Linked DNA regions of Oryzias latipes. The protein of the gene in region 2 purifies or fractionates together with the protein of the main gene of each other region. This does not show direct contact. Links are inferred from orthologs where the notes say so. Each region holds a gene or a part of one and is shown on either strand. Other genes may lie near its edges. The genes, in order: prkd1, hdac5 and F-box-like/WD repeat-containing protein TBL1X.

Region 1 (4,725 bases), on a different chromosome or scaffold from region 2:
TCCCTTTCTGACCATAGTGTACCGTCTTCTGATAGCTACTTCCAGCATGATAATGTGCCATGTCATAAAGCTGGAATCATCTCAGACTGGTTTCTTAATCATGACAATGAGTTCTCTGGAGTCAAATGGCCTCCACAGTCACCAGATCTCCACCCAACAGATCACCTTTGGGATGTGGTGGAACGGGAGATAGGCATCATGGATGTGCAGCCAACAAATCTGCAACAACTGTGTGATGCTGTCATGTCAGTATGGACCAAATCTCTAGGGAATGTATCCAGTACCTTGTTGAATTGATGCCACCAATGATTAAGGCAGTTCTTAAAAAGAGGGTCCAACCTGATACTAGCAAGGTGGACCTACTAAAGAGGACGGGGCGTAAATACTTATAGGACAGTAGAGTTGAAGCCTTGTTGGAGATTTGCATGTCAACAAACTTAATAAAAACAATCAAAGCTCCAAGATGAAAGTCTGACCTGTAACCAGGGGTGACTGAGGGTCTTGTCGACGCTGTACCTCTTCCTCATCTTCACTTGCAGAAGGTTGTTGATCAGATCAATTGCTGCATGAAAAATAAAAAAAACAAACTATGAAAATTATATGAAACCTGTTAATTTCTTACAGCTATTGCCTTCATCTCATTTGCATTTGGGTGCTCCCTTGAAGGGGCGCCACAGCGAATCATTCGCCTCCATCACCTTGCTTCGTCGTCGTGTATGTAAACCCCTAGTCACAACTGTCCTTACCGATGGATACGGTGCTGGAGCAAACCTGTTCGGGTTACGCAGGTGTCCCTTATGAAATATCAAATTCTTAAACGGATCAGTGAGCCCATAGAGAGAAGGCGACAGGTCGTTGCAAACACTAACACAACATGTAAGGCTAAATAAGGGTGAAGTAGGTGACACGCCAGCGTTAGACATTAGACAATCAGATTGTAGTTTATGTGGACATCCTACAGGCATCCTACGATCACTTGCATATCATGTGCACACCCTATGTGTTACTGACAGCTAGAATGTAGCATAAGAACACGACAGCACCACCTGTACATCAATCCCCTATCCTAACAAATACTTGTCGATACATACACTTGACTGTGGTACGTTCCATTTTCATGACGTTCTTTGAGGTGGCCGTACGAGCCTCAAGGAAACTGAAGACACACCTGCGCTTCCTTCAAGACGCAGATGCTCCTCTCTACTAACGTCCATGGACCTAGACAACCCAAAAACCGGCACTGCCCATACAGCTTAAATAAAGTAGGTACCATAACTCATCTGGGCGCCAATTCCTCAAGGGTCCCTCTGAATGCAAACGATCTCTTCCAGATTGAGGAGTAAACTACTGACTGATGCTTCTCCATCCTTTGTTGTGTTCATTTGACTTCAAAAGTATTTGACCTGAATACAGGACAAATCTCTGTACCACCAGTCAGGTTCCTTGCTTTCCAGCCTTCTCTGATTTGACCCAATGGCAAAGTTGGAACATATCAGAGGATCAAACATCTGGCTATCCTCATGGTACTTTGATCCGAACCTGGAGCTTCTTCTTCTTGCAAAGAATGTTGTTCAACCTCTCAAAGCTAGCATGGACTGCCTTCAGCAGTGGATCACAAAGAGGTACAGATCTGCCAGTTTATGAGTGATGAAGATGTTTTTTCAGGTTTTTGTGACTGGTTGTGGTTTTTGTAAACGTTCTGTCCTAATTCTCACATTTATAATCTCTTTTTATGCAGAGTACACATAAATCCAACAAAGTTGAGCATATTTGCTCAGTTGAAATATATTTTCTTCAGATAAAAAAAAAAGTTCTTCAACATGACATTACATAAAAGTCCTTTTTTCAAAACTTCAAGCTCTGCTTTTTATCTCCACTGACAAATTGGAATCATGTTGGCTTGTGGGCAGAGGACGCTCCTTTAAAAGCCGGATATTTGCAAATGGAGATCTCTCCACACGCTGAGGGTTTATTCTCTGGCATTTAGCTTCCCCGTGGCAAAGCGAGTCCTCGCATTTATTTTTTAAACAGCAGCTCAACTCACTTCAAGCAAATGAGGAGGTGGATGGAAAAGCGCTTTGGGGACGAGGCTGAGGACTGACTGAGTGAGTCAGGCTTATTATTAGTCAACGGGATGATTTTAGTCAACACACCTTGCAGACACATTTAGAGACATCAACATGAGTCACTCTGCTGCAGAGAATTGCTCTAAAGAAGCAAGGAGGGAATTCAATGGCATTTCCGGGGAACAAAAACAACCTAAAAAATGCTTAAAAAGGAACAAAAATCACAGGATTTCTTGTAGAGAAGGACTTCTCAAACCCGATTTGACACATCATTACATACCGTCCTGTGAGACTTTCTTCCAGGGATGAGGAGGATACATAAAAGCAGCATTCTGGATCTGATCATTGATGTCTTCATCCTCGTTGAAGGGGAACGTCCCACTCAGACTAACAACCAGAAATACAAACCACTTTAAAACAACCCTTATGATCAGGAAACATATCATCATGAGTGAGTTACGGAGAAACTTTTGCTGGCCCAAAGTTGTGGAATCTCTAACCTCACGTAGATGATGACTCCAACCGACCACATGTCCAGAGAACGGTTATAACCTTTGTTCCTCAGGACCTCTGGAGCCAGATACGCCGGCGTTCCGACCACAGAGCGTCTGAACGACTTCTCACCGATGATTCGAGCAAACCCGAAATCACAAAGCTTCACCTGCAGCAGAACCACAGAGAGACCACACCTCAGATGCCTTCCATCTCCAACTCTCCTAGTTTTTGGGATGAATTAATAAGTGCACTACAACTGTAAAGCAGTTTTAGACTTTCTTGCCTTGTTGCTAATGTTTTTGTCCATTTCTTGTTACTCCATTTCTCTCCCTTTCTCTAAAAGTCTTGCATTTTGCTGGGCACAGTGAAAAAATAAGAATACTGTTCTTAATCTGTCTTCCCTGGATAAATAAAGGCTCAAAAATAAAATAAAATAAAATGTTTAAACTTGGAAAACCCCAAAGCAATTTTCTTATACATTTAGACTTTTTGTTTGTTCATTTTGGGCAACAGCAATTAACTATAGCCCAAAAAACTTTTTAAAATAGAAAAACAAAATAAAGAAAGAAATTGAATAAAAATTTGAAAAAATTATAACAGCAGCCAACGCATTTAAAATTTGAAATAATATATATAGAGCAATAAAGAAATAAAATAATTATTAACAAAAAAAAATCAGCAGCCAAAAAATAGAAAAAATTAATATTAAAAATAGAAATTAATAGTATTCACAAAAAATAGCCACACCCAAAATATTTAAAAAAATCATAAAATAAAAAAAGAATATTAATAGATAAGTAATAAATATTTACAAAAAAGCAAAGCATCCATAAAACTAGAATTAACAAGATAGAAATAAAAATTCATAAATGAAAAAATAAATAAATAGCTGAGATATCGGCTAAACATGACCCAATGGCTTGTCCAGAGTTGAAATGTGGGGTTTTACACTGAAATGCAGTTTTTTACCTCCTTTACCTATCATGATCTTCAGCTTGTTCCTTCACCTGGCACACAGGTATTTAACCGATTAATTTCTCACTGAAGAACCTGTTATTACGTACATGTTTTCTAATCTGTCATTTCCATCTTAAGCCAAACTTCTGCTTAAAATGTTGCCTTTTACTTTCAAGGCAATAGTATTGAGTTCTAGTTTTATTTAATTTGTTTTGGTATTTTTCAGTTGAGCAACTTCCGACACAAATGGTCTTAAATGACGATAAATGATCCCCACCCAACACAACATCACACTCAGTTTGGCATTGACAGAAACACACAAAGACTTCACACCTGTGGGAAAGAGTCAGCTGAAGCCAGGAGGACGTTTTCAGGTTTCAGGTCACAGTGAACGATGTTCTTGAAGTGGAGATGACGCAGAGCCACCAGAATCTGACAGTGAAACAGAAAAATACACAAGCTGTGTCGATGTGCAAAAACACAACATCTCAACAAGTGTTTTGGTCAGGTTTCTAGTTTAAAGATCACGTTGGTATTGAATTGAGACTAAACTTACTTATTAGTAACTTTTTAAAAAGATGTAACGACTTCTTTTAGGACAATAAATCTTCAATATTTTAAGTCATTCCATTTTTAAAAATACTTTATTTAAAACGACAAGTTTTACGTTATTTTTAAGCAGAAGTTTTATTTCTGATGGTGACTGTCAGTCTTGATTTATGGAAACTGGAAAAGTATTTTTGACCCATAATTTACCAATAATTTTTAAAACCAATTTATCTTCAAATGTATAACTTTAATTATGTTTTTATCTTAAAACAATTGTGGTTTAAAAATAAGGCTAGTTAAATTGTTATAGCACTTAAAACAGAATATATCTGCAATTTGGGGGGGGGGGGGGATTGTAAAAATATTCATATTTTAAAAAGACTCAAGCATTTTAAGGAATCCTTATTTAAGTTATAATATTTTCAATTGACAGAGCAATACATCCAAATGTTCATCATTGATATCAAGGTTTAGTTTGGCCCTAAAAGGCCAGAACATCACAGCTTATCCAAAGAAATCTTGGAAATTTTACATGCTCTATTCGCAGTTTTGTTTCCCTTGTAACAAATTCATATTTTTTAACTTGTATTGAGAAGGACACTTTCTCCAGAGTGCTAAAGGTGACACAACCACACAGGTGTGACCCAATTTTACAGAT
Region 2 (4,825 bases):
GCGCCTGCCGCTCTGCAGAAACTACGTCCTAGAAAACAACACGGGTTTTTGGCTTTTGCCTAAAAACAGGATCATCCCAATTAAAAGACCACTGGGGACGGAAAAGATGAGCGGAGAGAGACTTTAAAGTTAATTATAAATTCGTTAGGTTTGGTCTTAAAAAGCTCATCTTCCGATTCTATTAAAATTAATTTCCTTTCTTCATTTTTCCATCTAAAACCATTTTTGTAGAGAAATCAAAAAGAGGTTTCTCATAACTAGTGATGTAAAGCAAATTAAGGATTTACTTTATCTGATCAAATTGTTTTCTACCCAAACTAACTATGGATTTAAAGAACTAATAAGAAATAAATATCAAATTTAACAAAAGAATGGAATCTGTAATGCAGCTTTTGATTTTTCTATTTCATTTTTCAGAATTAAAGTCTTCATCAAGTGTCTGATGGACCAATAATGTATGTGCCGACCAGACCCCTCCGAGCAGCAGCTCCTCTGACAGAGCAGCAGTCCCGCCCCACCTGTAAGACCCTCAACAATAAGGCATAAGAGGCATGAGAGCAGGATTCACCACGAAGGACGTTTGATGCAGCTGCACTTCACCCTGAAGAAGAGACTTTCCACAGCTGAGAATCCTGTTGGCCTCTGCAGGAACTTCATCCAGATCATCCACAACTGCTAATGACAAAGATGAACCTCTTCTGTCATTGCACAAGTTCAGAGACGAGTCACGGAACTGTGACTCGACCTTTGTGACCCCCGCTGGACTGATTGTGACCGTAGAAGAAGTCTGAGGGGCCTTCGACGCTCCAGAGACCCCCGCTGTCTTCGTCAGAATATCCTGCATCTCTAAATGCTTCCTGTTGTTTGTACCCTTTAAAGCTCCAGTTTTTCACAACAACTTTGAACCTTTAATCCAATGTATTTTACTGACAAACCACCAGTTAACAAGCATGGATGTTTCAAGGAGCCACACAACCAGCAGAAACACGGAAACCCAGTGAGATGCACTGCAAATGTTCCAACCTGATTCGGCTCACTGGGTATATCTAATGTAACATTTGCACAAAAGGGGGGAAAAACGCACAAAGAAAGGATGTCAACTCATCTCGTTGAGGATAAAAAAAACCTGCAGAGGTGCTGATGGTGCAGTGGGAGGAGCCACAGACCACCAGTTGATACCAACAGGCGGTTCCCAACATGCAAACCACCATTTGAGTTTTCTAGGAACCAATCAGAGATCCAAACACAAAGGAATAACAACCCGGTCCCTTTCCAGACCCAAGACACACACAGAGACCGTGACGCCAAACGCTACTGCACAAAAGAAAACTAGTGAAGTGAAGAAGACCCTGTCCTCATCAACACAGCGGAGGAAGCACCAAGCTTTGGCGTGGATCAGGGTTTACCAGCCCTGTCAGCCGCCACGTTTGTTTTGCATCTTCAGGCTCACCTGATCAGGTGAGCCTGAAGATGCAAAACAAACGTGGCGGTGGCCGACGAGGAAGAGGGTCGGTGACTCCTGGCATGGAGCATCAGACTGAATCTGACCTTCCTCCCTTCCTGATTTCATACTTTCCCTTTCCTTTCCAGAAGATCAAACAGATCCAGATCGAACCCCGCCTCCCCCCACTGTTGTTTACAAACAAACAGCCGGTCGGTCTGTTGTCTGATTTCAAACTCCTCCCCACACTGACATGCTGGTGCATCCAAAAACATGCTGCATTCCTGCAGACTCCACCACCTGAAGCTGGTTCTCCGCCCCACCGACCAGCAGCCCTGACCTCCATCTGCAGCTGCAGCCTCCCTCATGAGTCCCGCTCACTTCAACCAGAAACTTTCCCTGCACTCCAGCGCCAGCCCGTCCTCCATGGACACAAAGAAAAAGGGTTTCTTCTCTTACAGACAGCCTAAATTATTTATTAACACCCCCTCCCCTCCTCGCTTCCCCACAGATGACTCACCAGCGATGGGCATGGCTGCGCTGGAGCCCTGTTTGCCACTCAGGAGCTGCAGAGGCTGCTGGCGGCCGTCTGCAGAGGAAAAGCAAGAATCCGTCTCATAGATGGTCTGCAACATGGCGCACAGTCCTGACACGGGCGGCTGCAGCCGCGTGCCAGGACAAGAGCCGCTGCTACAGTTCAGGAAGCACCCCTTCACAGAGACCCCATCACGCCGACTTGGGACTGAGCAGCCTGCAACGCTGTGACAGCTCCCAAGCCGCAGGCTCTGGCGCCGGTCACCATCACCTGAGACAAATCCTCCTATCCCGCGCTTCCAGGAAGTCCTCTCTGAGGTAAGAGCATGGATCACCCTGATCCTGGCACAAATCTGGCTCCTGAGAGGCGGACCTGCAGCGGTGCGTTCAGGAAGCCGCTTCAGCCGCAGGAGGAAAGTTGCAGTTCCACAAACAAGCAAAAAAAATTCCCAACCGGCAGCAGCAAAGACGGACTCTCTGCCGCGCGACCAAGAAACGGAGCTAGAGAGTCCTGTTCTCCCGAAAAACAAGGGGGAGAGGAGGAGAAGGGGGAGAGGAGGAGGAGGAGCAAGGACGAAAATAGCTTTGGGAGAGCGCTCTCCGAGGTTCCATGTTTCCAAAATTAGAACAAAGAGCTGGGAGAATGACAGGAGAGGGAGACGAGTGGGACTTCAGCAACAGCCCTCCATCCTCCAGCCGCCGCTCCGACAGAGAAGCTCCGACTGCAACCAGGAGCTGCGGGCGGTTCAGCACCACCCTCACTGACGGGGGGGGGGAGCTGAATGAAGCACAGGGAGGGAGGGAGGAGGGACGCCGACAACAAACCTTCTGATTTCAGAGTGTCAGAAGACGTACTCTTTTACTTCTTGGCTGCTGTGGCATTGTGGGGATGCGGGGGTTGAATTTTAAAATAGCTCGTTAGTGAGGGGGAGGAGCCAAAGACAAAAATAGACCAGGGAAGAGAGAGAGAGAGAGACACAGCGAGCACACAAAAACCCTGCAGCGCTGGGGTGTGACTGAGACGTGGGGGCGGAGGGTTTTCTGCCCCGCATCTCTACAAGATCCTCTACCAATCCAAGCGGAGTGGGCGGGGCTCCACGAATGCCATGGGTCTGCCGAGACTCACCAGAACAAACACTAACATACACACCTGGTCCAATCAAAACCCGGAAGACAGGGTCTGGAGGAGCAGGGCTGACAGATGTTCCACGGGGAGGGTTTGACGCAGAACCAAGGAGAACCGACACTTCTGAACCTCCCTGAGAAGACGACCGTCAAACATCCAACAACTTCAAGTCCAGACTGTCAGAACCACATCCAGAATTCAGTTTACCTGATGGTCAAACATGTCATCGTCTCAAACACACACAGCATTAAGCCCATGTTTTTAACGTCTTCTTGTGGCATTTTCCTGATGATGTAGAAACATTCTGGTTTCGAGTTTTTCTTTATTCAAATCATTGTGAGCAGAATAAGAAAAGGCTGTTGGAAACCATAAGCTCCCTGCTCCGCTCCATTCTGATGCATCCGCCTGCAGACAAACAGATCCATGAACGTGTTTGTTTTTCCTCGTCTGAGCTGGAATCTGGATCAGAACTGGACGCTCCACGACTCAGAGGTGAATTTCTGTTAAACTCCTGCGGCTCTGCACAAACTATGTCCTAAAAACCCAAAACAAAAACTGTTTTTTTTTTTTTTATTTTGGCTAAATACATCATCATCATAATTTAAAAAAAACAAACACTTTGAAAAACAGATCAAAAGCTGATCAGAGTGAGACTTTAAAACAGTGTCCCACACGTCAAACAGGTGTGCATGCATGCATTTGTGTGCGTTCGGGTCGAGTTGTCACAGACCCGGGTGTGTCTTGGGGGGAAGCATTGAGCTGCAGTCACGGCCGAAAACGAAAACCAGATTTTTAATAATCTAACCAAGGATTTGAACCTACAACCTCCCAGTCTGAAGGTGGAGACACAAAGCAACCGCTCTGATGTATATGTGTGTGTTTTTGTGTAGGCATGCATGCATGCATGCATGCGTGTGTGTGTGTGTGTGTGTGTGTGTGTGTGTGTGTGTACTGCAGCGGATGACTCATCTCTGCATTTCTATTCCAGACGCATCCACCCCTGGAGTTACACTGCTGCGTTTGTGTACTATAACTGTAACCATGACAACCGCATTATAGACTGTCAGCTAGTCAGTGGGACGAAGATCTGAAGGACCTCCAGCTGCATGAAGCTTTGAGAGACCTTCTAATTCTCCATTTCATTAAAAACTGATTTTACTTGGCTAGAATTACCCTTCCAGTCATTTTCCTGCAGATTTTCAGATTCCTTACTTTCCAGGACACCAGCAGGTGTCACAAGCATCATCCTACTCCACTCTTAAAACTGCTGCTACGTCTGAATGCAGTAAAAATCCACACACCTCCTCTTCCTCTGACCTCCTCTTCCTCTCTCTGGAAAACGTCCCGGTCAAAGGAGAGGAGGCGGCACAGAATCTAAAAAAGCCGTCTGACTGCTCACAGCTGCAAACAGGAGCTCCAGGCAGATCCTGCAGATGCGTCACTTTGTGGTTGAGGGAATGTTTTGTCGCGGTTCTTTGTGTACCAGATCTGATAAAGTTTGATTCAAAAATAACTCACGTTTGCAGGTGTTCTTTGAGCATAGATTTACCATGAGCGTGCACGCTACAGACATTTACCTGCAGTCACGTGCTTTGTGCATTGGGTCCACTGATCCAACCCAAACAGAAGAGAAATACGGATCCACAACTTTCATTCTTAAATATAAAGCCAACCAGGAAGTGGCAAAGGCTGCAGCTCCGCAAATGACCACCGGAGGCTGGTTT
Region 3 (4,825 bases), on a different chromosome or scaffold from region 2:
TGTGTAAACATAATAGCATGTGGGCACAAATAAGTGACTTTTTTCCCACTTTGTGCACAGAAAACAGTTGATCTTTAGTACCAGATAAACCTTCTAAAAAGCAGATCCTTTTCAAAATGACACCAGATTTAAACAAATTAAATAAAAGGGGACTCCGTGCTACCATACTGTGTTTTAAATGTCAACTATTTGACAGAATAGGCGCAGAAAGAAAGCGTGACATCGTCCTTCGTTTCTGACATTTACGTTTTCCTGTCAATGAGATCCATTTGTTTTGGAAAATGCACTTTTGCTCTTCACCTTGTAAACACTAGTTTTGTTTGTTGAACTGAGGTGATGTTTTTGTCCCATCTTGTATTCTTGTATTAAACCTTTTGTGTCAAAATAAAAGCCTTGTAAATTTGCTGTTGAGTGCAAAAATAATAATCCAGAAATCAAAAGGCAGCAGCTCTCTGATATAAAAATAGAGTCATTTATTTGAGACACTGAATGACTTCAAAGTTTTGCCTGGAAACAGGTGACAGCGGGGGCGGGTGTCACTGCCACAGCACCCGTCCCATAACCGGGCTTCTCCGCTCGCTGGGAAAGTCCCACCGACCCGCAGCCCAATTATCAGTCTGACACAGACAATAAAGGCCTTCAGCAAATGAAAAATACAAAATGTGAGAAATCGATGAACACCAATTAGAACGCCATCATTTGAGATGGAGAGGAGGGGCGGGGCGGGGGGAAAAAAGGCAAAGTTTAAACATTGGACCTTCACTTTCATTGAAAATTTGCAGCATCCACTAATACAAAAAGTGCACTTCATGTTGCTCTGGCAGAAGATGAGGGACCTAGAAAAAGGCAAATGAAGTGGAGGTGGTTTATAGTGTCTGCAGAGCTGCACCCGCAGGCCTGAGCTGCGAAGCCGAGTCTGCGCAGACGCTTTCCTCTGGAGCTTCAGTGGAGGCCGTTCTTTTGTTTACAATCATGAATCCTGAGCTGCGTTTCTCTAACTACATGTTGGGGCTGCTGCAGCTGCAGAATGTGGACGCCGTTGAAGTGAAGATTTGAAGACGAAGTTTTCCTCATCATCCTGATGCTCAGAGGACAGGAAGACGGCTTAGACTGGCGGTGATGGAACATCAGGCTTGAACCTGAGGTCTTCTGGCTTCGCAGTTCAGGCCTTCCGATCAGCTAAAACCCATAAAGTCAACTTTTATCTTTTTTTTTTTTTTTTGCATAAACGCCACTTTCTGGCTGCGATGGAATCTAACAGCTCAGCAGCCTGACGAGGAAAAAGTGCCAAACAGGAAACACAGTGATGCAGATTAAGCTGCAAGAACTCTCTGGGGGTTGGGGGTTTGATCGCTCCGCGGTGTTCCGTCTGCACACAAACTTTAAAGCCATTAAAAGTTTTAAAAAAACATCATCTCCTGCACCGTTTACGCCATGGATGCAGGTGTTGTGTGGGCCGACTGCATGATACCATTTCTAACTGATTCTACAGAAAACGTAACAGCTGATAGGATGGCAGAGTTCAGAAAGACTGCACTGACAGAAACTGAGACATGCACTTTGATAAAAAAAAGATGCGACAGCTTCAGCCGTAAAGACCCCCTATAGATGGCAATAAAGTGTACTGTATATAAACATATATATACACAGTATATAAGTCTGTGTATTAATCTAATTTACATTTTTTTCTTTACATTCTTGAAATTTACATCCAAAAAAAAGGGAGTTAGACTCTTTAAGCCACACTGTTCACACCTTTTCCACGTCTTTTTTTTTTTCCATCTCAGGTCACATGATGAAGCTAAGAACCACCAGGCAGCGGCGACATTCAAGAACATCCCAAAACACCGGCAGCAGCCATTCTGATGACGGACTCCTCCACGCAGGAGTCGTCGAGCACCTCGTCAGGGGACAGCAGCGCCGCCTGGGAGCCGGGCGTCAGCCACGCCCACCCCGTTGGTGGTTAATTCACGTCGACGTTTAAGTAACGCCTCCTCGGAGGAATCGTAAACCCCGCAGCCTTCCTTCCGCACAGTCCCGACACCTGGCTCTTGTTACCACTCCTTCCTTCAGAAAACCCGCCTCATCTTTGCGTTTCCACCCTCGCAGCTCCACAACAGCTGGACCCGCAGCGAGCGCCGCACGTCGTCATCAGGAACCTGTTAATACTCGGACGCACCCGGGGAGCCAAGGCCACTTTTTGGGGATTTCTGAGCCAGTTTCCATCTTGCCTCAGACTTATTAGAAAACAAGCGTTAACAAGCTGCATTGAACTCAGCTGCTGTTCAAGCCGCTGGCAGCATCTGGGTCTACACCTGTGAGGGTTTCATTGGAGTCCACCTTTACGGCCCTTCCAGACAAAGGAGGGGGTGTTTGTTGACGTCAGGAGAAGGCAATTTTCTGCACATTCGAGGATCCGTTTAAGTCTCAGGTCAGCTATTTTCGCAGGTCAAGAACACAAACCTGAAATTGAAAAAGATAATGGTTGCAATAACTGTATATTTTAGGCCACTGAGGCAACAAATACCCACTTAAGAGACTATAATCAGGGTCAACAGGAATGGCTTACCGAGCCGTCTGAAGCACTGGCACCCACTTTATCTCCAGTGCTGTTCCAGCACACCTCGAAGATGCCCCCGGTCCCCCTGTAGCTGTGCACCAGAGCTCCCGTCTGCAGAGGCGCAAACAAACTCCCTGAACAACCTGAAGAAGTGTCCGCTAAACGAATGAAACCACAGGGGGCCCCTTACCATGGTGTTCCAGATATGAACACACTTGTCGAAGGAGCCGCTGGCCAGGTGCTTGCCGTCGGGGCTGAACGCCACGCTGTAAACGGGCTCGCGGTGTTTGGTCAGCGTGTGGATGCACACGCCGCGCTCCACGTCCCACAGCCGCACCGTGGAGTCAAAGGACGCGCTGTGTGGGGGGAGGTGTCAATGAGATCACAGCGTCTTCCTCCTATTTCAGCCTCACTCAATAAGTTCAACCATATATTTATTGGGCTGCACGGTGGCACAGTGGGTTAGCACTCTTGCCTCACCCCCCGTGAATGCGTGGGTTCTCTCCGGGGTCTTCCTCCCACCATCCAAAAACATGCTTCATAGGTTAATTGGTTACTGTAAATTGCGAGTGTGCATGCGCGTGTGATTTGTGTGACCCTGCGACAGACTGGCAACCTGTCCAGGGTGTCCCCTGCCTTCGCCCAAAAGTGGCTGGGATAGGCTCCAGCAGCCCCGTGACCCCAAAAGGGATAAAACAGCAGAAGATGAATGAATGAATGATATATTTAACTTCTGTGTTGAAGCTCTTTCAGTACAGGGCAGGGCAGTTCACTCTGTGACCACTAGGGGGCTTGATCTGCACATTTACAATCAACTTTTGTTCCAGTGAGAAACAAAAGCAAACAATGTTTAAGAACAGGTTTGAAAATTGTTTTCCACCCTTTGTGAAAAATCTTGTATCCATGACAACAGCACAATGGTTGATTATTTATTAACCCATTTTAGCTTTAATTGAACGATGGGTTTTGACAGACATTCTCAGCTTTCCAAACACCTTACTTTGCCTTTTTCCAGGCTTGTTTTCACCTTTTTTTCCATTTTCAACAAAAGTCTCAAGTTGGAGTACAAAGATGGCAGCAACCAAAAGGGCTGAATTTCACCACCAGTAAACCCAAACCAACCAAAAAGTCACATGACCACACCTTCTGTTCATCGTTTATAACCATAAGCTTTATCAGTAACCCTCTCTCACATTTGGAGGGGTAAAAAACTATTAGTCAGTCACCGATTCTGCCAAAAATAACCCTATTTAAAGATGAGAGGTCTGTAATATTTCATCAAAAAAAAGAATCCAGGAACTCTCTTTGTAATTTTGAAGACTTTAAAGTTCTTCTTCAGAACAGTTTCTTCACCACTAAGAAATAAAATGGGTTCAAAATCTCAGCGGAACAACAAATCAAAGCTAAAAGGAAAAAGCTCTACTTTGGAAAAGCCCTCACTGAAGGAATTCTAGAAGCGTTTCAACACATTGTTGATTTCTGCTCGAGCAAAGACACTTTTCCCTCCGCATGAAATGCAGTCAGGCATGCTGGGTTGTTGGGATGGGCGGTAAAACCTTATGGCATTTGCATTGGATCGCTGACATGTGTGAGCACATCTGGGTCAAGATGCGGGCCAAGCAGTAAATCTGGGGTTTCAGTCCAAACACATTAACATGCGCCTCAGCACAGTCTGCTCCGACAGCAGAACCCAGACTACCAAAAGCTGAGTAACTCTGCATTACAGGTCAGGTTTCCTACCTGGCGAGCATGATGTTGGAGTTGGGATTATTTGTGCTGGGCCCTGTGGGACTCCACTTAATAGTGTAGATTTCTTTACTGTGAGCCTGGAGGTCGTGGACGCAGGAATCCTGTTTCATGCTCCAAATCTGCGTGCGACATTATGAAAATAAGCCGCCGTATTCAACTTTCAGCGCCTCACATCCGTGTGGACCCCTCTCACCTTTAAGGTCATGTCGTCTGAGCAGGAGGCCAGCAGCATACCCGATGGATCCCACTTGATGGCGTTGACTTCATTCTGAAAAACGCGGCGGCACTGGTTAGGTGAGGGGCTGCGGCAGCCTGGACTGAAACGAGGTCAGGGTGTGTGTGTGTGTGTGTGTGTGTGGGGGGGGGGGGGGGGGGGGGGGGGGGCGGAGGACGCGCTCACCGTGTGGCCCTGGAAGGTCTTGAGGGGCCGGTCGCTGCCCAGGCGGCACACGTGGATGCACATGTCTGTGCTGCAGGAGGCAAAGGTGGTGTTGTTCTGCCAGTCCACATCCAGCG

What was found.
Region 1: the proteins of hdac5 (region 2) and prkd1 purify together in Homo sapiens (affinity purification with western blotting; 4 studies listed by BioGRID, with this or other methods). This does not show direct contact. The link is inferred for Oryzias latipes from reciprocal best matches to the Homo sapiens genes HDAC5 and PRKD1.
Region 3: the proteins of hdac5 (region 2) and F-box-like/WD repeat-containing protein TBL1X purify together in Homo sapiens (affinity purification with mass spectrometry; 3 studies listed by BioGRID and IntAct, with this or other methods). This does not show direct contact. The link is inferred for Oryzias latipes from reciprocal best matches to the Homo sapiens genes HDAC5 and TBL1X.

Annotation. Positions count from the first base shown.
Region 1 is NC_019880.2:2,744,868-2,749,592, reverse strand, and holds part of prkd1 (serine/threonine-protein kinase D1), read right to left. Parts: intron 3,951-4,725; coding exon 3,852-3,950; intron 2,728-3,851; coding exon 2,567-2,727; intron 2,454-2,566; coding exon 2,347-2,453; intron 563-2,346; coding exon 477-562; intron 1-476.
Region 2 is NC_019866.2:23,880,906-23,885,730, reverse strand, and holds the start of hdac5 (histone deacetylase 5), read right to left. Parts: upstream 3,223-4,825; 5' UTR 2,077-3,222; coding exon 1,962-2,076; intron 1-1,961. UniProt on the Homo sapiens protein: Responsible for the deacetylation of lysine residues on the N-terminal part of the core histones (H2A, H2B, H3 and H4).
Region 3 is NC_019879.2:24,116,998-24,121,822, forward strand, and holds the end of F-box-like/WD repeat-containing protein TBL1X, read right to left. Parts: coding exon 4,710-4,825; intron 4,578-4,709; coding exon 4,503-4,577; intron 4,429-4,502; coding exon 4,301-4,428; intron 2,917-4,300; coding exon 2,751-2,916; intron 2,672-2,750; coding exon 2,570-2,671; intron 2,464-2,569; coding exon 2,437-2,463; 3' UTR 457-2,436; downstream 1-456. UniProt on the Homo sapiens protein: F-box-like protein involved in the recruitment of the ubiquitin/19S proteasome complex to nuclear receptor-regulated transcription units. Plays an essential role in transcription activation mediated by nuclear receptors.